Macaca mulatta: one gene and its partners. The protein of the gene in region 3 purifies or fractionates together with the protein of the main gene of each other region. This does not show direct contact. Links are inferred from orthologs where the notes say so. Each region holds a gene or a part of one and is shown on either strand. Other genes may lie near its edges.

What was found.
Region 1: the proteins of CSNK1A1 (region 3) and SEC16A purify together in Homo sapiens (affinity purification with mass spectrometry; 5 studies listed by BioGRID and IntAct, with this or other methods). This does not show direct contact. The link is inferred for Macaca mulatta from reciprocal best matches to the Homo sapiens genes CSNK1A1 and SEC16A.
Region 2: the proteins of CSNK1A1 (region 3) and DBR1 purify together in Homo sapiens (affinity purification with mass spectrometry; 3 studies listed by BioGRID and IntAct, with this or other methods). This does not show direct contact. The link is inferred for Macaca mulatta from reciprocal best matches to the Homo sapiens genes CSNK1A1 and DBR1.
Region 4: the proteins of CSNK1A1 (region 3) and UNC45A purify together in Homo sapiens (affinity purification with mass spectrometry; 4 studies listed by BioGRID and IntAct, with this or other methods). This does not show direct contact. The link is inferred for Macaca mulatta from reciprocal best matches to the Homo sapiens genes CSNK1A1 and UNC45A.
Region 5: the proteins of CSNK1A1 (region 3) and RASAL2 purify together in Homo sapiens (affinity purification with mass spectrometry; 4 studies listed by BioGRID and IntAct, counting the BioPlex papers as one, with this or other methods). This does not show direct contact. The link is inferred for Macaca mulatta from reciprocal best matches to the Homo sapiens genes CSNK1A1 and RASAL2.
Region 6: the proteins of CSNK1A1 (region 3) and FAM83B purify together in Homo sapiens (affinity purification with mass spectrometry; 5 studies listed by BioGRID and IntAct, with this or other methods). This does not show direct contact. The link is inferred for Macaca mulatta from reciprocal best matches to the Homo sapiens genes CSNK1A1 and FAM83B.
Region 7: the proteins of CSNK1A1 (region 3) and FAM83H purify together in Homo sapiens (affinity purification with mass spectrometry; 9 studies listed by BioGRID and IntAct, counting the BioPlex papers as one, with this or other methods). This does not show direct contact. The link is inferred for Macaca mulatta from reciprocal best matches to the Homo sapiens genes CSNK1A1 and FAM83H.

What each region holds. Positions count from the first base shown.
Region 1 is NC_133420.1:6,037,235-6,040,734, reverse strand, and holds part of SEC16A (protein transport protein Sec16A), read right to left. Parts: intron 3,228-3,500; coding exon 2,982-3,227; intron 1,369-2,981; coding exon 1,271-1,368; intron 1-1,270. UniProt on the Homo sapiens protein: Acts as a molecular scaffold that plays a key role in the organization of the endoplasmic reticulum exit sites (ERES), also known as transitional endoplasmic reticulum (tER).
Region 2 is NC_133407.1:41,170,391-41,174,444, reverse strand, and holds the start of DBR1 (lariat debranching enzyme), read left to right. Parts: upstream 1-1,254; 5' UTR 1,255-1,388; coding exon 1,389-1,585; intron 1,586-2,549; coding exon 2,550-2,674; intron 2,675-4,054. UniProt on the Homo sapiens protein: Cleaves the 2'-5' phosphodiester linkage at the branch point of excised lariat intron RNA and converts them into linear molecules that can be subsequently degraded, thereby facilitating ribonucleotide turnover.
Region 3 is NC_133411.1:158,474,086-158,477,585, forward strand, and holds part of CSNK1A1 (casein kinase I), read right to left. Parts: intron 2,447-3,500; coding exon 2,307-2,446; intron 1,106-2,306; coding exon 1,027-1,105; intron 1-1,026.
Region 4 is NC_133412.1:80,853,810-80,857,309, reverse strand, and holds part of UNC45A (protein unc-45 homolog A), read right to left. Parts: intron 2,803-3,500; coding exon 2,634-2,802; intron 2,334-2,633; coding exon 2,163-2,333; intron 458-2,162; coding exon 286-457; intron 1-285.
Region 5 is NC_133406.1:35,888,847-35,892,346, reverse strand, and holds part of RASAL2 (ras GTPase-activating protein nGAP), read right to left. Parts: coding exon 3,373-3,500; intron 2,593-3,372; coding exon 1,731-2,592; intron 1-1,730. UniProt on the Homo sapiens protein: Inhibitory regulator of the Ras-cyclic AMP pathway.
Region 6 is NC_133409.1:127,437,690-127,441,657, forward strand, and holds the start of FAM83B (protein FAM83B), read right to left. Parts: upstream 2,801-3,968; 5' UTR 2,154-2,800; exon of another isoform or gene 2,150-2,153; intron 1-2,149. UniProt on the Homo sapiens protein: Probable proto-oncogene that functions in the epidermal growth factor receptor/EGFR signaling pathway. Activates both the EGFR itself and downstream RAS/MAPK and PI3K/AKT/TOR signaling cascades.
Region 7 is NC_133413.1:154,097,724-154,101,925, forward strand, and holds the start of FAM83H (protein FAM83H), read right to left. Parts: upstream 2,801-4,202; 5' UTR 2,603-2,800; intron 1,891-2,602; exon of another isoform or gene 1,750-1,890; intron 1-1,749. UniProt on the Homo sapiens protein: May play a major role in the structural organization and calcification of developing enamel. May play a role in keratin cytoskeleton disassembly by recruiting CSNK1A1 to keratin filaments. Thereby, it may regulate epithelial cell migration.

The DNA of each region.
Region 1 (3,500 bases), on a different chromosome or scaffold from region 3:
CCGAAGCGGGCGGATCACCTGAGGTCAGAAGTTAGAGACTAACATGGAGAAACCCGTCTCTACTAAAAATACAAAAATCAGCTGGGTGTGGTGGCATGCACCTGTATTCCCAGCCACTCAGGAGGCTGAGGCAGGAGAATCGCTTGAACCCAGGAGGCAGAGGTTGCAGTGAGCTGGGATCGTGCCACTGCACTCTAGCCTGGGCGACAGAGCAAGTCTCCATCTCAAAAAAATAAATAAATAAAATAGTAATAAACTAAATTAAAAAAAAAAAACCAGACCTCAGCCCTCTGATGTAATGATTAGACTTATATTTCACTTAGGCAAAGTACACATATCTCAGTATTTTATTTTTCTTTCCCTATCTCAATATTAAAAAAAAAAAAAAAAAAGCTGTAAAAGATAAGTCCAGGTGTGGTGGCTCACGCCTGTAATCCCAGCACTTTCAGAAGGTCAAGGTGGGCAGATCCCTTGAGGCCAGGAGTTTGAGACCAGCCTGGCCAACATGGCAAAACCCCATCTCTACTAAAAATACAAAAAATTAGCTGGGTGTGGTGGTGGATGCCTGTGGTCCCAACTACTTGGGAGGCCAAGGCGTGAGGATCACTTGAACCTGGGAGGCAGGGGTTACGGTGAGCTGAGACTGCGCCACTGCACGCCAGCCTGGGCAACAGAGCAAAACTCAAAATTTAAAGAAAAAGCTATAAAAGATGGAGACTAGGCCGGGTGCAATGGCTAACGCCTATAATCCCAGCACTTTGGGAGGCCAAGGCGGGCGGATCACAAGGTCAGGAGATCAAGACCATCCTGGCTAACACGGTGAAACCCCGTCTCTACTAAAAATACAAAAAAACTTAGTTGGGCATGGTGGCGGGCGCCTGTAATCCCAGCTACTCGAGAGGCTGAGGCAGGAGAATGGCGTGAACCTGGGAGGCAGAGCTTGCAGTGAGCCGAGATCACGCCACTGCACTCCAGCCTGGGCAACAGAGCAAGACTCTGTCTCAAAAAAAAAAAAAAAAGATGAAGACTAAGGAATTCACTGAGATTTTATGTGAAGTATTAAAAACCATGCGGTTAATAAAAAACTTTTTAAGCTCTCCACAGCACAACCCAAGGAAGCCTGAAGCCAAGGAAGCCCGAGTTCGTGTGGGAGCACAGCACAGTCAAGTGAGATCTGCCTGCCACCTGCCACCTGCCACCAGTGTGGACGCTGCGTGCTGCAGGGAGCCAGCAGGGCTCGCCACTGGACCAGGCCACCGTGGGACTGTACCTGGTCATGACTCGGGCGTGTGTCCGGCTGTCCATCTTACTTGCAAGGAGCAGAGCGTGACCCCACAGGCCATTCTTCATTGCAGACTCCAAAGCATCCTGCAAAAGGCATTCCAGGGGCCTTGGTGAGTTATCGGTGGTGCTCATGTGACATGAGTCAAGACAGGCGACAGGCCATGTGTCCTCACGCAGCAGCAGATACACAAACAACCCAAAGGCCTCAAAAACTTATTCACCATTTGGAGATTAAGACACGTCAGCATTTCACTATTTTCCTGAGTTTCAAAGTCCCTGTGGTAGTGGGTATCTGTAGATATTTGCTGCTTTTATCCATTTTCAGCATAAAACATAAGCACGCTAATCACAAATAGGGCTAACCACACCGCACTGCCCACCACGCCGCCCCGTCCACTGGGAAACACACGCGGGTCAATTCCCCGGTTCTAACAGGAGGCCTCCACGAATATCCGTCAGCACAGACAGTGGCTCCAGTAAGGCAGCCTCCCCTTTCGCCAAAATCATCTAGGGTATAATTTAGGACTTCAGGCTAGGAGGCAAAAATGCTACAGTAGAGGAAGATGTTAATAAAAGCTAACAGGTTACACGACTTCAATCAGTTATAAAACATCCATAATAGACTCATACTGATCAGGCCGGGCGCGGTGGCTCATGCCTGTAATCCCAGCACTTTGGGAGACCAAGGCGGGCGGATTGCTTGAGCCCAGGAGTTCGAGACCAGCCTGGCAACATGGTGAAACCCCGTCTCTACGGAAAAAAAAAAAAAAAGTTAGCCCGGCGTGGCGGCGTGCAGCTGTAGTCCCAGCTACTCAGGAGGCTGAGATGGGAGGATCACTTGAACCCAGGAGGTCGAGGCCGCATTAAGCGGTGATCACGCCACTGCACTCCAGCCTGGGCAAGAGCGAGATTTTGTCTCAAAAAATAAAACTAAAAAAATAAAAGTACTGGCCAAATATGCCCTTTCTGAGTTTATCATGATATAAAAGGACGGAGAGCTCTGGGCCTATCCAATGTCTCTGCTATTCAGGGCCACACATGCCCGTGAGACTGGCCTCTCTCCTGCTTAGCACATCCAAAGCGGACATCATGCGCCCTAGACAGGCCCTCCTGTGAACACACTGTCCCTGCTGCAGTCGCTATGGACCCCCCAATCCCACTGTCCCAGAGCAGGCTCCTGTCTCAGGTCCCCCACCTGCCCTGGTCCCCAGGCTGCTGTGGCCCCAGTCACTGGACGCTATACGCACTGGCTGCTCCCCTGCCCGTGGCCTTTCCATGCACTGCGCCTCTGACAGGCTGGGTGCGTCCTCCCAACTCCCAACGACTTCTGGGCTGTGGACTCGAGCCTGACTTTGTGAGAATGCCAAAACTCGTGTCATGCATGTCTCATCTGAGACTTGGCACACACAGCAGGGACACGGCCCGTGCTCAACACGTGCATTTATTGAATGACTGAAAATTCCATCTGCAGGTCTCCAACACTGGAAATAGTTAGAAGGAAACCCACATGAACACCTCCAGAAGGATGGCATAAAAGAGGCCGGCATCGTTCACGAAACAGCAAGACCCGAAGCCCCACACCGCAGCGCGGACGCTCCCGAGAGGGGCCGTGTCCCTCCCCAACGGCTGCATCGCCCGCACCAGGCCCGACCCAGTGGACACCTGCAGGCGCCAGGTGCCATGATGGGCAGGCGCACCTTCTTACGGCCATACAGCAACAGCTCCCTGAACCGCTCCGTCTCTCTCTCAAGAGAGCTGGCAGCAGCCGTCGGACCACCAGTGAGGAAAGAGAGCTGGGCCTCGCCAGACTCCTCCTCTTCCACCTGCTCCACCGCCTCGTTCGTGAAATCAATCAGGTTTGCTTCATTGGGCGACTTCCCAGGAAGCCACACTGTTCTGTGGTCTCGTAAGAGAAGCTCCGCAATGTCGGTCCCTACCACGGTCTGTTCGGGTCAACAGGAACAGGAAGGAGAACAATGGCTCTCAGGTGAGGACGCATTAGATCATCACGGGGACAAAGCCCCACCCTGGACACAGCCAGACCCACAACTACCCGAAAGGCTGGCAAGGCTGGACTGAAACCTCATCTCATCCCAACCGCATGTTCCCTCTCCCTCCCCACCCAGTCCTCGAGGCTCCCACAGCTGGGCAGGCGGATCTCGCCCTGCTCCGCCAGGAGGCTGAGCATGCAATGCCCAAGACGAAATGAAGACCAG
Region 2 (4,054 bases), on a different chromosome or scaffold from region 3:
AAGAAAAAGGCATATTACTGGCCGGGCGGAGTGGCTAACACCTTAATCTTAGCACTTTGGGAGGCCGAGGTGGGAGGATCACTTGAGGTCACGAGTTCGAAACCAGCTTGGCCATCGTGGTGAAACCCCGTCTCTACTAAAAATACAAAAAATTAGCTGGGCATGGTGCTGTGCGCCTGTAATCCCAGCTACTTGGGAGGCTGAGGCAGGAGAATCGCTTGAACTCGAAAGGCAGAGGTTGCAGTGAGCCGAGATCATGCCACCACACTCCAGCCTGGGCAACAGAGAGCGAGAGACTGTCTCAAAAAAAAAAAAAAAAAAAAAAAAAGACACATTACTTTCAATGAAAAAAAATTAAGTGTATAGGTGACTTCTCATAGAAGATAATGCAAGTCAAAATATAATAGAATGCTATTTTTGAAATGCTTTGTAAAACAAAGACAAAAACACACTGCTTAACTAGTATTCAGTACTCAGTAAACACATCCTTTATAAATTAAGGTGAAACAAAGATTCCTCCCTCCCTCCCTCCCTCCCTCCCTCCCTCCCTCCCTTCCTTCCTTCTGACAGAGTCTCACCCTGTCACCCAGGCTGGAGTACAATGGCACGATCTCAGGTCACTGCAACCTTTGCCTCCTGGGTTCAAACGATTCTCCTGTCCTAACCTCCCAAATAGCTGGGATTACAGGTGTGAGCCACCACGCCCAGCTAATTTTTTGTATCTTTAGTAGAGATGGGGTTTCACCATGTTGGCCATGCTGCTCTCCAACTCCTGACCTCGTGATCCACCTGCCTCGGCCTCACAAAGTGTTGGGATTACAGGTGTGAGCCAGTGCAACCGGCCTCTTTTCTTATCTCTCTCTTTCTCTTTTTTCTTTTTTTCTTTTTTTTTTTGAGAGGGAGTCTCGCCCTCCCCCGCCCTCCCCTCTCCTCTCCTTTCCTTTTTTTTTTTTTTTTTTGACGGAGTCTCGCTTGTTGCCCAGGCTGGAGTGCAGGGGCGTGATCTCGGGTCACTGCAAACTCCACCTTCTGGGTTTGAGGAATTCTCCTACCTCGGCCTTTGGAGTAGCTGTTATTACAGACCTCCGGTACCGAGCCCGGCTAATTTTTGTATTTTTAGTAGAGATAGAGTTTCACCATTTTGCCCAGAGTGGAAAGACATTTTTAAACAAAAAGAAAATAAGTTCCCTGGGATCCCGGAGTTAGGTTTGACCTTCCCGGTTCCTCTATCGCGAGATCTGGAAACCGGAAGTGAATTATTTTGCAGGCGTCTACACCAGGCTGTGGCTCTACTTATTAAAGTTGGCGGGAGCTGAGCGATCATTCGGGCCTGGGCAGGCCGTGGTGTAGTGCGTTGCAGGCAGCGCTCACCTCCTCGGGCCGGCAGAATGCGGGTGGCTGTGGCCGGCTGCTGCCACGGCGAGCTGGATAAGATCTATGAGACGCTGGCGCTGGCGGAGCGGCGTGGCCCGGGGCCTGTCGACCTCTTGCTGTGCTGCGGCGACTTCCAGGCGGTGCGCAACGAGGCGGACCTACGCTGCATGGCCGTGCCGCCCAAGTACCGCCACATGCAAACCTTCTACAGGTGAGGACGCGGTCCGGGCCGGGACTTGGCGGTGCGGCGTGGGACTGGGTTCGATTTCCCTCTGCCCCTGGCTGCCTGTTTCCCTTAGATCCTTTGTTCGCTCTGTGTCTTTAACTGGTACCTAACTGAATACAGGGGTGAGGTAGTGGGAGGCGGGAAATGTATTCAGTTAGGTACTGTATTCAGTTAGGTACCAAATTGTGTCTGCTTAACTTTCAGCACCCTGTCTCATTAGGAGCTTAGGAAATGTCACTTTCCTTCTTTCCATACACCCATCTTTATCCATTTCACACGGGATCGAAGCCTGGGAGGGGACAACCTGGAGGAAGAAGCTGACAGGTTTAGATAGCTACTTGATAGGACTCTGGAATTAGTTCATTTAGTGATCCTGGAGTTTTTACTGGGCGCCTGCTATGTGCTTGTGGTTCTAGAAAGATAAGGTTATGGCAGTGAACTCGACACAGTTCTTGACTTATTTGAACAGGCACTGACTTGAGGCCCAAGGTGGAAGCTCTTCATTCCTAAGGGCAAGGATGGATACTGGGCAATTTTTTTTTTTTTTTGAGACAGAGTTTCACTCTGTTGCCCAGGCTGGAGTGCAGTACCGCGATCCTGACTCACTGCAACCTCCGTCTCCTGGGTTGAAGCGATTCTCCTACCTCAGCCTCCCGAGTAGCTGGGATTATACCCTGCTAATTTTTGCATTTTTAGTAGAGACGGGGTTTCACCACGTTGGCCAGATTGGTCTCGAACTCTAGACCTCAGGGGATCCGCCCCCCTCGGCCTTCCAAAGTGCTGGGATTACAGGAGTGAGCCACCGCACCCAGCCCCGGGCAATTCCTTTTGAAAGAGCTTTTTAACTTTTTATGATGAGGTCAATTTCTTTTTGTTGTTGTTTTTTCAGAACTTACTTGCTTTTCTAGTATGCCCAATTGTGGTAACTGACTTTGCTCTTATGTTCTAGGTATTACTCTGGAGAGAAAAAGGCCCCAGTTCTCACGCTCTTCATTGGGGGAAACCATGAAGCCTCAAATCATTTGCAAGAGTTACCCTATGGTGGCTGGGTGGCACCAAACATTTATTATTTAGGTATGTGATTGTGTTTGTGGATAATTTTTTTTCCCGGGATGGAAGAGTCTATCAGGATTTGCGCTAGTTGGGCTGTGTCTTGACAGGTATGGTGTTTGGAGAATGTCATTAATTTAAATAGTTAATCATGAAAATTTAATTAAGATAGTTAATTATTAAATGGTTGATCATGATAATATGCCCTTCATCTAGTGTTTTAAGCACTAGCTAATATAATTGAAAGACCTCACACACTATTTGTAATCGCTTCATTTTTTTCTTATAATTTTTATTGAATTAAAAAAAGACCTTAAACTTTTATTAATAGAAATTCTTAAGCATACACAAAAGTAGAGTATAGCATGATGAATCTCAGTACCTGTTACCCAGCTTCAACGACTATTATATTGAAGTCTCCTGGTTTTTTTTTTTGTTTTTTTTTTCTTTTGTGGGAAGAGATGACTAGAGTATTTAAAGCAAATCCAACTGTTAGATTATTTCACTTATACATATTTCAGTACATGTTTTTAAGTGATAAGGATCTTTAAAAATACTACTACAGTACTGTTATTATACTTAACTGAAGTACTCATTATCTATTGCCATGTTCATGGTCAGATTTCCCTGCTTAACCTAGGGATGTCTGCTTTACAATTGGTTTAAATAGGACCCAGACAAGGCCAGCCCATTTCATTTGGTTGTCACGACTCTGAAGTCTATTAGACTATAATAATCTCCCTGTCTCTCTTTTTCATGCCATTTACTTGCTGAAGAAAACACGAAATTTGTCCTGTGGCATTTCCTGCATTCAGGGTTTAGCTGATTGGATTCCTTTTATCCTCTGCATTTCCTATAATCTGCTTTTAGATTGACAGATTTGATTAGATTGTTTCAATATTAGTCCCTATAAACTATATAGCCTTTTCATCCCTTTATTTTTCGAGACAAGGTCTGGTTCTGTTGCCCTGGCTGGAGTGCAGTGGCTCCATCTTAGCTCATTCATCTCAGCCTCTGGCCTTCCAGGCTCAAGCCATCCTCCCACCACAGCCTCCCAAGTAGCTGTGACTTCAAGCGTGTACCACCATGCCTGGCTAATTTTTTTGTTTTTTTGTATTGTTTTGTGGAGACTGAGTTTGGCCATGTTTTCCACGCTGGTCTCGAACTCATAAGCTCAAAGTGATCTGCCCACCTGGGCCTCCAAAGTGGTGAGATTACAGGGATGAGCCATCCCACCTAGCTTCATCCCTTTATTTAAATGTATATTCTTTCTAGAACTGTTTATAGGTTTTACCAATGATGAGATTGTAATTTCAGAAATTTAGTTTCCCTACTTTGCTACTTATTGATCATCTTTTGATGTATTCGTTCTATATTACAATATTGTGAAAAAGTGAAATTGTC
Region 3 (3,500 bases):
CCTGAAAAGCATTTTCTTAACCCATGTTCAACACAAGGGCAAAGGCATCAGATTAATACAAAAAAAAGTTTGTTCATCAATTAGTGACATTAATAAATGGAGTTAACTGTATAAGTCACAATATTTTTCTAAAGTGAAAATACTCATATTGGATAAAGCCACCTACCCAAGGACTGAGCACTAGCTCACAGTCACTCAATCAATACAGGTATTTCTTTAAAGAACAGGTAAGGTACAAAAATAGCCATTAAAATTTAGGACACACCAACAGTGGTGACTCACACCTATAATCCTAGTACTTTAGGATGCTGAAGTGGGAGAATTGTTTGAGCCCAAGAGTTTGAGACCAGTCTGGGCAACACAGTGAGGCACTGTTTCTACAAAAAAAATTTAAAAATTAGCTGGGCATGGTGGCATGTTCCTGTAGTCCCAGCTACAGGTAGGAGGCTGAGAGGCAGGAGGATTGCTTGAGCCCAGGAGGTTGAGGCTGCAGTGAGCCACGACTGTGTCACTGCACTCCGGCCTGGGCAACAGAGCATGACCATTCCCTGTGCCCCCACCCCCACCCAAAATTAGGACACGGTGATTTATCATTAACACACACTCACAAAAGTAATGGTAAACTCCTAGCTAATAGAAACAAAATGTTAGGACATGTGTTGCTGGATAAACAGGTTTTGCTGTACATAAAAACATACATTTTCAACATAATGGCAACATATTAACGTGAGAAAGTCTCCACCTTTCTTAGTCCATGTCCACTTCCATCTGGATAGAGCTAGTGGCTACCAGTGGGTACCAGCTTACTGTCTCTCAGAGGACACTGTTCTTCAGCTGAACTAAGTTCTTACTAAAATGATCTGGTTTCATTTTCCCAAATAAAAGGTAAAAAGTAAATTAAGGTTAATTCTTTATTATCTCAGAAAAATCTCAGACTTAGAAAGGACCTTAAATCTTATCTTCTCCAATATATATTTTTATTCTAAAAAAGAGACAGAAAAATCTGATAACGTGAGTCTGGTTTACCTTTAGCCCTTGCCATGGCAGGCTGGTTCTATTAAAATACATCAAAACATATCCTAATGATTCCATGTCATCTCGGCGACTAGAAAAGAGAACGTAACTTTATAAACTGGAAATATTATTACGAAAAACATATGAAAGAAAGCCAAGTACCCAGGAGAAATGTTCCCAAATGAGGAGGGAACACTATTTGGTGTCTTACGCAAGAAGCTACTTATTTAAGGTGATTTTAAAAAGTTTGTGTGCTACCTACCTCTAAACAAAACTTTTCCCACAGAATCCAAAATAAGACAAACAACTATCTTACAATTTAATTTTAAAAGAAGAAAAAGGATTTGGCTAAACAACCCTCTAAATGAGCTTAATGAACCAAGCAGGATGACATTCCTATGTTTTGCAGAAACTCATTTTAAAAACTTCAGGAGCACTGAAAAGGAGTTACGACTTAAACTAATTGAACATCTATATGAATGTATTCATGCATACATATCTATATATACATACATACAAATATATATTTAGAGATATATATATTTAAGGGTAGGTGTAGGTAATGCCTTGGCGTACGGAAAAAGTGACATTACAGTTTAACCTAGAGTATTAAGATATTCATGGATATTTCTTAAGCCTGAAATTCTTGGTATGAGGTTGTTTAACCTGGAGTCATATCATTGCTTTTTCCCACTAATTACTTCTATGCTTGTTTTAAGGAGCGAAAAGTGACTGTAAAAGACGAAAGGAACTTGAAACTCTAGAACTCATGTGAAGAAACAGGAAGAGAGCAGAGACTGTGACACTTTTTTACTTTAAACTAGATCATACTAATTTACATATTTGAGTGAAGTATAACAGGAGATGGTCCATCAACCCACTTTTGGTTTATTAGGATACTGATAACATTTTCCTTTCAAAAATAAATAATGCATTCTTCCCAAACTCAACGTGAATTACTAAAGTATAAAAAGTCCCGAATAGCTTCAAAAATATACGTACTATCTTCAGCTGCAAAAAGAAACGTCAACATTGCACTTATGCTTCTAACTTTATATCACACAGTATTTTCCCCCCAAGAGACAACCTTCAACAACAACAACAAATTCAAAAGATCTCATTTAACGGTCTTCTCTACACTGTCTAAAACAGCAGGTAAAATGATTAATAAGCATCCTTCAAAGTCTCAGCCAAGAAACATCCTCAGACATTGTAAGAAACTGAAATATTTCAAAAACCCATTGATGGCTTCTGCTGTGGCTACGATAAGCACATTCCATTTTCAAACTTACCTCTGCTCAATACCAAGATGTGCATTGATGCTAGCATATCGGGCAGTGCCAGTGAGGTTTTTATCTTCTCTGTATGGTATGTGTTGCCTTGTCCTGTTGTCTCTGTACTTTTTGGCCAAACCAAAATCAATAAGGAATAACTTTAAAAGAGAAATACAGAAACATTAGGTTTCCAACCTTGTTCAATTAAACTGCTTCTTATTCATTAAACGGTATCTACTCTACGCATTCGAATATATCAAAATAAAGTATCCTAAGTATTAATAGAGCAGATAATGAACAGACTTAACACCCCACCCCCATAAGTTTTTACTAGTCTTCATCAATAAATCAAGTTAAAAAAAAAAAGTCTAGTAGTTTATCCTTGTCATCTGCAGATTTTGCAGGCCCATTTCATTACATACTCAGGAGCCTGTCTTTATAAAGAAAGAAACATATACATGCCTGACAGCAGAAGCAACAAGTGTGCTATCTGTCATAACACCTGATCGTCTATACACCTGTTACTACTGGTAAACAAACATGAGATTTCAAAATCTAGATATAATGGCCGAGTGCGGTAGCTCACGCCTATAATCCCAGCACATTGGGTGGCTGAGGCAGGCGGATAACTTGAGGTCAGGAGTTTGAGACCAGCCTGGCCAAACATGGCAAAGTCCCATCTCTACAAAAAATACAAAAATAGCCAGGCGTGGTGGCACATGCCTGTAGTCCCAGCTACGCAAGACGCTGAGGCAGGAGAATTGCTTGAACCCGGGAGGCAGAGGTTGCAGTGAGCCAAGACCACGTCACTGCACTCCAGCCTGATCACAGAGCAAAACTGTCTTAAAAAAAAAAAAAAAAAAAAATCCAGATATAAGCTATCTGAACTCTTCCCTCCTACAAAGGCCACTCTTAAATGTGCCAACAGAATGCTTGTTATCTACTCTAAAAGTCTGACATTGCCAATGAAAACAAGACTTTTCATTAATAAAAACTACTACTTAGCACTGACACTATACACGTGGGTCAGGTTAAACTTCTAGAAAATTTGACAAGTTGATATAAAAATCCCCCCAAAAAGCACTTAGCATTTAAATCAAGGTGGCTTACAATTAGCAGTTTAAGTGAGTTAACTAAAAACAAAACTAGTGTTTAGAACAAAATAACGTTTAATGTTATCATGTCTATATGGTACTCAGGGAATAAGGTATT
Region 4 (3,500 bases), on a different chromosome or scaffold from region 3:
CACCTGTGTGAGAACAGATGCGTAGGAAGTGCTTGGTAAACCCAGTACGTGCTTGATGGCATTTGTTGCATTACTGGAACATTGATTTGAGAAAGAACCTCCCCGGGGAGGCCACTTTGGAACAGGAAGTGGGCCTTGGGGCCACTTTCCCTTCGTCCAGCCCCCAACTAGTCCTCCCTAAGCCTACTCTTTCTGCTGGAAACCTTTCATTTCTGCCCCTCCTCAAGGAGTCAGAACTTTTTTGCTGGAATCCCTGGCAACAGGAGGTGAAACAGACTTCCTTACTTGATGTAGTTTTCACAGAGTCGGTGGAAATTCTCCCTCTCCGCATCACACTTGAGGTCATCAAAGAGCTTGCTGAGGAGAATGGAGGCGCTCATGCGGCTGTTCGCGGTCACTGCAAGCTCCCCAGGAGGGTCCTGTAGAGAGCCCCCAACTTCCAAAATCTTTTTCAGACCTGAAAAGACACCCCATTTAGAAATTAGAACACTAGTTACAACCCCTACAAGTAAAAGGAAGAGGCTTCCTAGGAGATGCGGAGAAAAGCAAGACAAGAAGGCTACAGAGTTCTGACAACTGCGTCCAGGGCAGCCCAGAGAATCTGCTTAGCTGATCTGCTACCTAAGGGAGGCAGCTATAGGATCGGGAAGGACCTCAGAAGTGAGGCCTGCATGCCAACCCTGCCCCTGGGGCCAAATGCTCTGGAGCTTTGAGGTTCCTCATCTGTAAAACTAAGGGGAAAGGAATATCCACACCTCATAGGATCATTGTGAACACAATATCCACACCTCACAGGATCATTGTGAAAGGCCCTGCTCATGCAGGGCCTTTGCAGAGCTTTTCTTATTTATCTTTTTTTTTTTTTTTTTTTGAGACAGTCTCGCCCTGTTGCCCAGGCTGGAGTGCAATGGCGCGATCTCAGTTCACTGCAACCTCCACCTCCTGGGTTCAAGCGATTCTCTTGCCTCAGCCTCCAGAGTAGCTGGGATTACAGGTGCGTGCCACCACGCCCGGCTAATTTTTTGTATCTTTTAGTAGAGATGGGGTTTCACCATGTTGGCCAGGCTGGTCTCAAACTCCTGATCTCATGGTCTGCCCGCCTCGGCCTTCCAAAGTGCTGGGATTATAGGCACGAAGCAACGCACCCAGCTCTTATTTATGTTTTAGGGGAAAAGAGAGATGAATTGATATATCTACCTTTATTTTTTCCTCTAAGTATGGAAGTAATACATGCTCACTAAAAAAAAAAAAAAAAAGGGGGCCAGGCGCAATGGCTCATGACTGTAATCGCAACACTTTGGGACACCAAGGTGGGTGGATTGTTTGAGGTCAGGAGTTCGAGACCAGCCTGGCCAATATGGTGAGATTCCATCTCTACTAAAGATACAACAATTAGCAGGGCATACTGATGTGTGCCTGTAATGCCAGCTACTCGGGAGGCTCAGGCAGGAGAATTGCTTGAACCTGGGAAACGGAGGCTGCAGTGAACTGAGATTGTGCCACTGTACTCCAGCCTGGGCGACAGAGTGAGACTCCATCTCAAAAAAAGATACAGAAAGCTAATCCAGCCTCTCTGCTAACCTGCTTGCAGGCCCATTCAATGTGCATGTATCTGCACACACATATGATAGAAGAGTCTAACTTTGAGCCCCCTAAGGGTAGCTCCTATGTCTAGTAGGTGTTGCAAGAGCTGAATCCCATTGCTCTGGAAGATCTTCTCAGTTCCAGCATCCTCCTGGGCCAAAGGACACACTTCAGTGCAGACACATGGCTGGAGATAATCACAACTTTTCTTCCTTTTTTTTTTTTTTTTTTTTGAGACAGGGTCTCCCTCTGTTGCCCAGGCTGTACTGCAGTGATGCAATCATAGCTCACTGAAGCCTTGACCTCCCAGGGTTAAGTAATTCTCCCACCTCAGTCTCTGGAGTAGCTAGGACTGCAGACGCACACCACCATGCCCAGCTAATTTTTTAAATTTTTCATAGAGACAGGGTCTTGCTATGTTGCCCAGGCTAATCTCAAACTCCTGGCTTCAAGTGACCCCCTGCCTCCCAAAGTGCATCATCCACCATGCCTGGCCCCACTCACAACTTTTCTTACTACTCCTAAGGATAAACAAACTTCAGCTGCCCAAGCAAGTTTTTGTGAACTATTTCACCTACCTTGGTCAATGACCCAGAGGGTGAGGCTGTTGTTGGGGTCCTTGAGAGACTTCCGGGGCACTGCTTTAATCAGGAGGGTCAGGGCATTGTCTCGGCCTTGGCCAGAGACCCCCACCTCTGTCAGCAGATCTAAGAGGTTACTGATGAGGACCTTCAGCTCCCGGGCAGGATCTGGCAACAAGAAGACATCAGTGGGCTCCACAGCAGCCCAGCCCTGTTTGGCCCTTGAACTTCAACAAACCAGGGAGACACAGGGAAGGGGGGATCCACATCCCAGGCTCCAGACTGAGCTCCAGCTTTGTCCTGAGACACCTTGGCTGCTGAGAATCTAGAGTAAAATAATGTCACCAAACCGTATTCCAAACAACCTGCAGCTCCAATTCTAGTCCCCAAAAAACTGGCCTGGCTGGCTCAGCCCCATCCCTTCCATGACAGTAACATCCAAAAGACCCCAGACCTGCTTCCACTCACCCACGATGATGGCGCCTTCTTTGCCTTGGAATCCTTTTTTGACACCTTCCTTGAGGGCATCAAACATAACCTGCAGTAGGTGGCAGGCAGCCAGGGACACAGCCTGGTTTTCCACACCCAGGATGGAGACTACTCGCCGAGTTCCCAGTATGCTCAGGGTTGCCACTGTCTGCGGTGGGAGAGGTGGACAGAAGCTTCCAGTTGGTCAAGGGCAGCTACAGATATCCCTAACTGTAAGTTAGAGAATATGGCCAGAAGGAGAGAATTGGGTGGAAGGCCCAGCTCCAGGTGAAACCAAGACAGAACAGATGGCGTGACCCAGGGTAATGGCAGGATAATTTTGTTAGAAAGACTTCCTAAAGGAAACATTCCAGAGCAATGCCCTACTACCTCTCCTTGGTGCCAGAGAAGACACAGTATACTGTGGCCCTGGGAGCAGTTGCTTTAGCTCATGTCTCCCCAAGAAAAAGACCTAAACCTAGACAAAGCTACCTGACCACAAGGCTTAATGGTCTAGTTCTTCCCCAATCTAAACCCTGAGGTTCTTTCCACACCCTGGGGATGTGGATTTCCACACCCTGGGGATGTGAATGTGCACGGAATGGGCCCATGAGACCTCTCCACCCCATTTCTAAGCTGGAGAACCCTAGAAGGCCTGCTTGGTCCACTGAGTCCTGATCCTGACTGCTTCCACTTAGCAGCTGAGTGTCCTTGGCCAAGACTGTGAACTGGGATGGACCAGAAGGCAGGAGGGAACAGAATGCATATGCTTTTACCAATCTTAGCCTTGTGAGACCCAGAATGCAGCCCAAGCTCAGCCTAAAGAGATTTCATTGACTATTTCACAGTTCCACTCCTATCTAGGAA
Region 5 (3,500 bases), on a different chromosome or scaffold from region 3:
ACACATACATTTTATGTTTATATATACACACACATTTATGTATAAAAAATACATATGATACATATAAAAGATACGTATTTTTCCTTTTCTTCAAATACAAATGCTTACTAAATCAAATCTTTGGGAAATATAACAAAATAAAAATGAAAAATTTAAGACTGTAGAAAAACTTTATTACTCAGTAAAAAATGACCAAGTAGGAGGTTTAGCCCAGGAAGTCTGCTTCCAGAAACAGTTTGTTAGTCATGCTTTTCATCCCTTCTTCTATTTCTGTATCCAAGGATTCTATAAATAATCCAATTAAAAAAATCAAAGTAGGTGTAAGGGGCTCTGATCATAGCAGACTGGAGGCAGACGCAGCCATATCAGTAAGTGCCTAAACTGTAAAAATGCAAATATATTACAGATACAAATTAGGATTTTATTGCAGTCTCCCTCCCCAGTTATTTTGCTGCATAAAAGGATTTGTCATAGAACTCTTTTAATCTCAAACTTTCTAGTACTATCATTAGGTTTCAAAAAAAATTCAACTAACACAATGCTTTTTCAGGAGAAAAATCTTTTTAGATGAAAGATATAAAAAGATATATGTTATATATATGAAAAATTACATGAATGTGTATATATATATTTAACAGTAGTTTGTTTCAAAGGGAAAAATATGTATTGATGCTTCAAAATGTAATATGTAAGGAAGAAATGATTAATTTCTGGGCAAAGCTTTTTATTTGTCAAGAAAAAAATCAGAAAATCTTATATTATGATTGGATGTGATGTTAGCTGGGCTTGTCCATGTAAATAGAAATGTAAGGGATCTGCAAATGTTCAGAATACTTCCTTTTCCACCTGTGCTTCTATCTTTTTTTTTTTTTTTTTTTTTTTTTTTGAGACGGAGTCTCGCTCTGTCTCCCGGGCTGGAGTTGCAGTGGCCGGATCTCAGCTCACTGCAAGCTCCGCCTTCCGGGTTCACGCCATTCTCCTGCCTCAGCCTCCCGAGTAGCTGGGACTACAGGCGCCGCCACCTCGCCCGGCTAGTTTTTTGTATTTTTTAGTAGAGACGGGGTTTCACCATGTTCACCAGGATGGTCTCGATCTCCTGACCTCGTGATCCACCCGTCTCGGCCTCCCAAAGTGCTGGGATTACAGGCTTGAGCCACCGCGCCCGGCCCTGTGCTTCTATCTTTTTAATCTTTCCTTTACCTTGACTCTCTATGTGTTCAAGTGTTTATTTTTCTAGCCATTTCCAGGAAAAGGCACATGGGACTTTGTATTTCCAGAGAGAGTTGAGGGATGGAATGGAGAGCAGTCACATTAAACTCTTGGCTCAGAATGCAAACCTTTATTCTGGAAGCTTAAGAAAAAAAATTAAGAGGGATTAATTTTCAGATTCCCAAAATAATAGTTGGTTTTGCCTACAGATTTTAAGTATCTAATTATTCATTCAACATCACCGATTTGTTCTAAGTGTAAACTGAGGTAGTAGCTCTGCTGCTTGAAGAGAAGGGGGCCCCTGCGTGTTTGTTAGACTTTTAAGGGTAATGAGTCAAACTTCATTCTGCAGTCTCACTTAGGCAGAAGCTTCCCCAAATTTTCCTTTCCTCTTTCCATTTAAAGGTTGCTTTTAAGTGGAAATATTGTTAACAATAGGATTTCCCAATGATTTACGTATAAAGAACCAAAGAAACAGATGGACCAAGTAGAAGCCACGCCCCTTCAGCACTCGTGCCTACCTGCTGTGTCTGTTGTCTCTGGATTGCTCTCACTTTGGGAACAGGGCTCTCTCTGGAGGAAGAGGACTGCTGCCGGGACCGGCTCCCATTCTGCACAGGTTCGGCCACCAGGGCTGCGGACGCCACTGACATGCTCCCGGTGCTACGTAAGGAAGCACTATGTGGCAGGGATGGTGGGGCTTTGGCTCGGGCACCTAACCCACCCTGGTCCACTTTTCGGATCTGGGCCTGCCCAGTACTATTTTGTCGTGGCAAAGCAAGAGGTATGTGTCTGTCTGGCACAGTGTGCCGCCTGGAGAAGTCCTCACTCTGAGTGCTACGTTTAGTGAAATCTTCCATGCTGCTATTGCTGGGTCCACTAAGCTTGAAGTCTTCACTGTTACTTTGGCTTCTGGAACTGGCAGTGCTTAGGTTCTCCAAACTGGAATCTATAGAGGCCTTTGGCATTGCTGGAATTGGGTTATTGAGGTGATAGACAGGGTTCTGGAATGACAAGGGCTGAAGGCCACCTGGCTGGTTCAAGGCTGGGTGCAGGGGCCTTCTCACTTGGGGTGCACTTTGGGGAGTGCTCTGGGTTTCCCGCAGCTGTTTGATGCTGGCCACCTGGGTTATGGAAAGCTGGCTTCCGGTCAAGCGTATAGGCACATCAAGCATGACAGATGCATGCTCCACTTGAGCAGCATGAGTGTCCTGGAGGTCCATGAGGGAGACGCTCCGACCATTAGGAAGGCTACTTTCCCTTTCATCCTTTTCAGAATAAGTCATGCTCTGAGAGGAGGCTTGCTGAACCAGCAATAATGTTTTCCCTCTGAAGTAGCTGTCTGTGTTGTCCTGGCTTGGAGATTTTAGTTTATGCAAATCACTGTAGAAAAGGAAAGGACACTTAATTTCTCTTGAGACAACTTCAACATGGCTAAGATGCCTCAATTCAGGCATGTGAACTCCTCTGAAGGTTCTTATGTGGATACATACATTTCTTTGGAAACTCAGATTTTACATAATTAGGGAATTATTACAATTGTTAGAATAAAATCCAGCATTTTTACTTTTTCCCCAAAAGTAGAGAATAACACTGTAGATACCAACCCATCACTGTCTTCAGTTTTAACCAGGATTCCAATAATTTCCTAGTTAGGTTTTAAACCTTCCTGAAATATTCCAATTCATACTTACTTATCTAAACCTTCAAGAGAAGTTCTAAGTACACAACTGCAAGGTCCCTGCTAAAGGCACAAATCTTGCCAATCCATAACACAGTCTAAGCATCAACATTGTATCTACCTGTCCAGCTGACATAGCCAGCTATAAAATGGTTTTCACCGAGGTTCTCCATGGTTTTTGAATGCTATAACGTATAGAAACATGAATTTCATAAAGCCTTTGGTCTTCCACTAAGCAAGACAGAAATTTTAAAAATATGCTGGGGAATATATTATAACTCTCTATACTACCATTCTAGAAAATAAGTTATCCCAGATCTTGTGCATTATAATGACAAATAATTGAACTGCTCTCAGGTCAGATGAGTCTTCAATTGCTCATAATTTTAAACTTGTAAATTCAAAAAACAGGTTGAATATACTTCTGCTAAATCTGAACATTATATTTCTCTGAGATATTGGTCACGTCCTCTCTTTCATACCTGTCAGTGGGGTCTTCAAATATTTTCTGCAGCCCAGAGGAGAGGCTTCCACTGACATTTGGACTGGAGTTATGTTCAGTGAAGCGTCTCAGTTGCTGTTGTATTGGCGTAGGATTAGTCAATGACTT
Region 6 (3,968 bases), on a different chromosome or scaffold from region 3:
AATTGTGAAACATCCATGGGACATTCACATTTTGCAACTTATAAAGGGACAGATGTGCAACTTACCTAACTAGCTAAACAAGGATAACTTGAAATTTTACCAATAATTAATTAAACTAAGCTAAGTGGCCTCTTTTCAAAAGGTCTCATCCAACTAGATTTATGTATTGGAAGAGTCCTGCTTTGATGGGATCACAGTTTTTTACCCCAAGATTCTGGACACTTAAAAGTATAATAACATTACATTTTGGCAACTCAGTATTGTATAATGTAATTAAATGGGAAACAAGTAGGTGAGTTGCTGCAAGGTGAGTCATGGTCAAGAAAATACTCAGTGAATGAACCTCCACCTTAAACTATAAAGAACGGTGGACGCTAGAGGGAATAAAATAGAAAGATTAATAAAATTAATTAATTCATCCCAAAAAAGTTTAGCCAGTTAGCGTCATAAACTCAAGGGCATAAACGTAAAAGACATCACTGAGTCAGCGCCAGAGGTGTGGTTTGTCTGCATCTACACAATCTCTTTCAGCAACTGTTCAATTGGTAATGCTTCCCACAATAAATTCTCAGCATCTGCGGTCTAGAGCCTGCCAGCTTTAAAGGCAGGATCCACCCAGCCCCTTAGGCAGGCTCTAGAGGGTGTAGCCAGCACCCTAAATAGGTGTATACCCCCCCACGTGTGCCTGAGCCCCAAAGGCAAGGGGGTGGAATTTGCAATTGGAAGGTGTGGGGAGTTCTACTTTTCTGGGAACTATAGGAAGACAGAAAGAAACAAACGCAACAAAGACCGGCACTCCCAACCTTCCATCGTTCTATTTCATATTATTCTCATTCGTCAATCATTTTGAAGCCTCCCTCCGCCACCACCCCCCCCCCCCAAAAAAAAACCCAGCTTTCTCTTCTAAGTCCCTTTCATCACTGTCTCCTTTCCTGATGCTAGTCAGCAATGATTCAGCCTCTGTCATGGATTTCCTCCGGGCTCTTGCACTTGTTAGGATGAGAAAGGGAAAGAAGGGAGGTGCCTGCCAGTAACCTGGCAAGATGTTTGTAAATGGGAATTTGGACATAAGGTGTTGGGCATTAAATTCTCGCCTCAACTGCTTGCCACCCGCACACCTTCTTCTTAAGTGTTCTGGCCGCCTGAGCTCTCATTTCCACGTCTAGGTCAGAGAGACCCTATAACCTCACCACTCCAAGCATAGACAACGTGCTAACTTGTGTTCCCATAACCTCCCAGCCTCCTCCTCTAAAGCACTGTTGTCTCTTGACATACCTATGACCCCTGCAATGAACACAGGCACATTCCCTGCCTCTTCACTCACCTTATGCAGGCAAGACCCCCCACATATCACACAGAATAGGCCAAAAGTCTCCAAGTCCCGTTCCAGGAGCAACCTGCTCTAGGCATACTCTCCTCCTCTAGATCACTCACCACGATTTAGAGCAGTGGTTCTCAAACTTTGGTAGGTACAGACTTTCTCCTGGAGAGCTGCTAGGGCACACAGACCTAGACTCAGGCCGACCCAAGTTTGAAAAACACAGGTCGCTACCAGTCTGCACTCAGAAACGGGATCCTGTACAATTAAGAGGTTGTGTGAAAAAAACTGTCTTTTCAAGTTCTGCTCCTCACTACGGATCTAAAGAACACCCACGCCCCTCAGCGACCTAAGGTCTCCCACCTTTTCCCGGAACCCTCCACCCCCACGTCCTCCGCTTCCACCCTGGATTTCCTCCCACGAGACTCTTCCCAGCGGTCTCTCCTCCCGCTTCCTCTCCCGGGGTCCTCGGCGCACTCCTACACTGGGAAAGAGGAAACAAATCCAGCGTCCACGAGCGGCGGCGCCCGTCCTTTGGGGACCCAAACCGACTCCGCCCGAGACAACTTTTCAAAGTTCTCAACTCACTCGCACCCACACGACAATGAAAGAAACGTAGAAAAGACTAAAGCAACTGAGCTCTGCACCCTGGGGAACTTCCAATCCCGCGCGCGCTCCCAAGGGGGAGGCCCTTATCCCTCCCGTCAGCCGCGCCGGCCAAGGGCGGGTGAAGCCCTGGGCCCCCCCCCGCCCAGCACCCCAAGCACCTCAACCCTGCGCCCGCTGGGGTCCCGCCCGCCGTGGTCCGGGGCAGGGGAGCCCGAGCCCCACTTACGGCCAGGAGCGCCCTAAGCCGCGCGCAACCGCGCCCGCCACACCGCGCCCGCTGCCGAAGGTTTGCCTCCCAGGAAGCAGCGAGCGCCCGGGCGAGGGCGGGGAGGGGAGGGGAGTTACCTGCCCAGCGTCAAGTCGGCGGCGGGAGGCTGATTCCGGCTCGAACCGCGCCTCCCCGAGACCGAGGTGCAGCGCTAGAGGGGGCGGGAGTGGAGACGGGTTACAACAAGTCTCTAGTCGTGGCACGCCAAACCCCAAACAGCCAGAAAGCGCTCGGAACCTGTCTGAACTCAACCACCCAACCCTCTCCCGGCGGAGTATGAAAAAGCCTTTCTTTCCTGCCCGCCCTCGGGGCTACGGGGCAATTACAAGTCCCGACACCCTGCTCCTGGGCTGGGGCAAGGAGCGATCCCGGAGGACAGCGACGCTCACCTGGGAAGAAGGCGGATCTAGGCCGAGCGGGGCCGTAGTCCCGGCCTCGCTTCTCCCTGGGCTCATGAATGCCTGGAGGACAGGCCTGGGGACGGCGGGGTGAGAGCAAGGGTTGTAGCACCCTGGAGAGTGTGGGGCGGATTCATCCATAGTAGGTAATTCCACTGGGCATCCCGCAGTGCAGACTCCTTCTCAACGCCTAAGAGAGTTTTTAGGCTTGGAGACGACGTGAGGAGTGGAAAAGTACAAGAAAAAGTGCTTGTGCATTTACCTTTTTTATGTAAAAGAATTTTTTTTTTTTTTTTTTGAGACGGAGTCTTGCTCTGTCGCCCAGGCTAGAGTGCAGTGGCGCGATCTCGGCTCACTGCAAGCTCCGCCTCCTGGGTTCACGTCATTCTCCTGCCTCAGCCTCCGAAGTAGCTGGGACTACAGGTGCCCGCCACCACGCCCGGCTAATTTTTTTTGTATTTTTTAGTGGAGACGGGGGTTTCACCATGTTAGCCAGGATGGTCTTGATCTACTGACCTCGTGATCGACCCCCCTCAGCCTCCCAAAGTGCTGGGATTACAGGCGTGAGCCCCCGCGCCCCGTCACAATTTCAAATATCATCAAAGATTTTGGTACTGACTCTCAACTGTCCTAGTTACAGATTTGGGATGAAAGGATATTGTTTAAAATAGGGAGATGTGCGTCAAAAGCAGGTCACTCTAGGTGGGATACTGCGGAGCAATGTTACGGAAGTAGAGACAGTATAATTTAGTTTTAACATGAAATACAGTAAATAATAAAATTTATTTTTTCATTTCCTTGCCTACACCTCAGTAAATCTGTCATGAGTATTTACAATAACTTGTGTAATCACGTAGACTTCAAGATATAGTCATTTGCAGCAAATGTTTAAAATGCAGCCTAGTATTGTAAGAATGGAATTTAGGGTAATAATAGGCATATTTTAAGCTTCTGGCATAATATATAAATTATCATAAAATTGAATTGACCCTTAAAAATGACTTTCATGGCTATTTTGCCCGTAATTAAACAGTTTAGGAAAATGCTAAACCATTAAGGTTTGGATTAATCCCTAACTGATGTGCTGATTTAAACTGAAGAATGAAATTCGCATTAGTCTGGATACTGAAACATCAGAGCAAAGGGCAAAGTCAGGAAAGTAAAAGCAAATTCCAGGATATTACAAAGCTAATCTTCCAAATCTTGGTGTCTGATTTGTAGTTTCTTTTCTTCAAAAGCATGTAGAGAATTGTCTTGTTTTATGTATTTATTTTTTTCCTTCTGTTCCTAATTTTCACATCTCACTTGTTAGTATTTTTTTCAGTTCTCTTCCTCATTTTTGGCATGCAATCCATTGACTAAATTAATATTCTGT
Region 7 (4,202 bases), on a different chromosome or scaffold from region 3:
CTCCTGCCTGGGTGATAGAGACTGCATCGCTACAAAAAATGAAAATAAAACCAACCGCCCCCCAAAACATTTTATGACTGTTGGCTTAAAGACAAACATAATCCAGGCTGTATTCATCATTATAGTATTCACTTTTTTCTTAAGACATTCACAGGCCCCTGGCACTGTGCCTACTGGATAAGCTGGTGCCACCCATGCTGGCATGTGTCTGTCCCTGACTGCCTGGGAAACCGTGGGTAGGTCACTGCACCTCTCTGGCCTACCTCTACTGCACAACACAGCTGAGGGTCCACAAGACACCGTGCCTAGCCAAGGTGAGCGCAGCAAACAGGGCTGTGACCACCCTCCTCCTGGAATGGCAACCCTAAGCCCTACGCATAGCCCCGGGCGACACCTCCTCCCCATCCCCAGGGTTTCACAATTGGGTTCCCACAGCCCATTCTATGACTGCCCAGCCTTGCAACACTGACCCCTAGACTCTGTCTCTGTCTACCAGTCCCCCTCCTTCCCTTGACCTTTCTTGTCACTGTCCTTCTCAGATAACACCTCCCTGGACCACAACCCCTTGGTGCCCACAGGGCCCTGCAGGGCCTGCACTCCATATCGCCCAGATCTGGCTCTCCACTTGCTCAGAGTCCTGTTGCCACCAGCCCCCCGTCCAGGGCAGCAGGGACCTTTCCAGGTCCTGGGCTCCCCACCATCATCCATACTTGGCTGCCCCACAGCCCAATCTGTTCTCCAAAGGGTCCCTGCAGGGTGCCTGGCCTCTCCAGAAAGGTCAGATGGGGCGCACCCAGGGCCCACGCCTGGGGTCACCGAGCTACCTGGGTACCTCTCCCTGGAAGGAGAGCCCTAGGGACCGCTCAGCCCATCCCACTGCTCCTCGGGTTGGGGAGGGAGGCAGGACACCTATCCCCGCCTAGCACACAGGTTCCCGAATGTTGGCCCTGGCTGGGAAGGTGGTTCAGCCCAGACAGAGGAGTGTGCCCTGGGGCACTGACAGGATGGGCGCTGGCCAGCTGGACTGCACGGGTGCTAACCGGAGCCACTAGGCTGAGAATGTTGGGGTCAGGAGGCCGCCGTCCTGCCTGGTACCCCCGGGGGTGACATGGAGTTGGGACATGGGAAATACCTGGTGCCACTCAACAGCCCCAGATGCCAACTGGCCTGGGAGAAGCTGTCCCAACATTTCTTTGTTGGGGCATTGTCCTCATGGTTGACATATGGGGCTCGTTAGGGCAGATCGAGGCCAACCACATGGGGGTGAGGTGTAGGCCTGTCTGGCTGGGCCGGGGCGCCCACTCACCACTGCCAGCCTGGCTGTAGGGGCGGTGTCTGACCATACAGGGCAGGGGGAACAACCCTGCTAACCTTGTTTGAGGGCACTTCCCGACGCTGGGGGACACTCTAGAAAGGACCCCCACTGTCCCTTAGGATTTCACAGGGGAGGGATATCCACACAGCATCCAGGCTCCAGGCTGTGTGTAATGGGGGCAGGGATCATCTGGACTGTGGAATCCCCCGTTGCCAGGAGCCCTCCCAGCAGACACCCCTCATCATCACAGGGTGATGCCCAGACCTCCAATGGCTTCATTCCTCACATCGTGTCCTTTCATGGGTACGTGTCTGCTGGGCTATGGACGGGGCCGCAGACACTCCCAAGCCTGAGATGGAGCACCCCAGTGGCCTGCATGCCCACACATTTGCCTACCAAACGCTTGCCCAAGGGAGGTAGGGCACGGAACCCACCCATGGCCAATGACTCAGCACGAATCCACTCTTCTGCTGCTGACCCCTGACCTCTGACTCGAAGTCAGGGCCCTCAGCTGGCCTTCAAGGACCCCATCCTCTCCACCCTGGCAGGAAGTGGGGTTCCTGAGTATCTGGAAGGAGGACCCCATGGAAGGATCCGGAGTTCCTACACAAAGTGGGGTGAGCCTGTGCCAAGTTCCGATGGGCCCAGGAGGGCGCGGAGGCTCTAGGAGGCGGAAAGGTGGGGTGCGGAGGACAGGGCTCACAGACCGGAAGTCGCTCAGTGATAGCTTGCGGGGTGGGCACCCCAGCCCCCAACGGGGTCAGTGCACCCTGCGAGCTCGCGGCTGCGGCGGCTGGGTGCCCCATCCACCCACCCCAGCCCTGGAACATGGGCGCTACGGGCAGCCCTCCCGTCACTCGCCCTGCTTGCCAGGCGGGGATCCAGGCCGCACCCTGGCCACCCCAGTCCACGGTGGCCCGGGCGGGCGTCCCCAGGGAAGGGTCCAGGCCGTGCCCAGCACCCAGACTCCAGCTAGGCCGCGAGGGCAGCAGCGAGTCGGGACGGCCAGGCAGGCTCGACCCAGATCCCGGGCCGCTTCCCACTCGGCTCTTCTCGGGCTGCCGTCGTGCGAGGGCGCTCGCGTCCATATCCGCACAGCGGCGCCCCCTGTCCGAGCTGACCCGCCGCCCCGGCCCCGCGCACGCGGCCGCGCTCCACTCCCACCTCCCCTCTCTGGGTCGCGCGGCCCCGGCCCAGGTGCGGGCGCGAGGGTAGCCCAGGTGGGACCGCACCGAGGGGCGCCCGCCCCCGCCTCGCCCCGCCCGGGCCGGGGGAGGGGGGCCCTACCTGGCCAGGTGCGCGGGGTCTCGGCACAGGGGCAGCAGGAGCCGACCGCCGCCCAGCGGCCTCGCGGTCCGGTCGGTCCGGCAGCCACTCCCTGCCGCGGCCCGCCCGGCCTGATTCACGCGCCCGCCCCCGCCCCGCCCGTCGCTCCTGCCTCCTGCCTGCCCGGGCAGCACCTGGGGGCGGAGCGGCCCCACCCGCGGCGCGCCCGCATTCCTGCGCCCCGCGCCCGCCGCGGCCCCGCCGCCCGCCCCGGACCGCGCCCCCGGCCCGCGCCCCGACCCTCCGCCCCGACTCGCCCGTGCCCTGCGGCCACGTGCCCAGAAACCCCGGCCCAGCGCCGCCGGAGACCGTGAGGCCCCCACTTCAAAGGCCTCGACCCCCAGGAGCCCAACTGTTGACCCCAGGCTCAAAGTTCCTAGCCTGACCCCTGACCCTCGCCCCGGAAGTTGGGGTGACTCGGAAGTTCCGGCTCAGTCGCTAGGAAACAAGCCAGCCCGACGCAAGGGGCGGAGCTCTGACCTCCTCGCCGAGTTGGTGAAGGCAGGTGCGGCAGGTGAGGGCGCTGGGGCGGCGTCGAGCCCCGGGCGGGGCCGGGTCTGGGAGCCCCGAAAGCACAGGGGATCCATTCACCACACACCGGTCTCCCACCGCACCAGCGTCCCACACGTAGAGGGGATCCCGCCCAACAGAGGACCCCCAGGCCCCGACCCCCACCACACACACACACTGATGCCCACAAGTACCTGGGGTTCCCCATCTTTCTCCCTCATCCCTTCACATCCATGCCCACACTTGTAGGGGACTCTGCTGCAGTGACCCCCAATGCACATGCGGACCCCGAATGACCTGTCCCTCGTGTGCACCAACCCCCCAAGCACAGGAGACTCCTCAGGAAGACAGAACCCAACAAGAACACCCAGTCCTATCCACTTCAGTCACCCACAAACACGCTGACGTCCGCACACGTAGGGAACCCCACCTGCATATGAGAGCCCTCAGACACCGATCCCACACACAAACAGGGATGCCATATTCACACTGACTCTGAGAGACCAGGGGACCTCCCTCACACATATAGAACCCTGGGTGTACACTCGGGGACCCCGCGAAAACCAAGCCCCAACACGGACAAGGGACCCAGTGTGCACACCAAGCCTCACATACCAGACGCCCCCGCATGAACACAGCAACCCCACACACTACCCCGAGCTGCCCCTGGGTGCTCCAGAACCCCCAAATCCCCCTCAGGCCCTCACTTAGGGCCTCTCCCCCCACTTAGGCCCTGCCCTGCACTGGATTACCTGTCCAAACCACCACCCTTCACCCCTGCCACTCCCACCCCAAGGACTGGCCCTGCCTGAACGCTTTCTGATGGTATCAGTCACCTTTCTGTTTGTCCCTCTTGCCATGTGATCCTATTTTCTGTTTTCAGGGTCACTCCCAGTTTCATTTGTTCTTTCCCCAGACACTCAGTGACACCCCACTGGTACCAGTATGCTGGAAACATGGGTGGGGGGTCAGACCAGTGCCCAGGCAACTGTGCTGTAGCGGGTGAGGGGCATGGGGCACCAGGGAGGACCCCGACAGGCCAAAGCAGGCA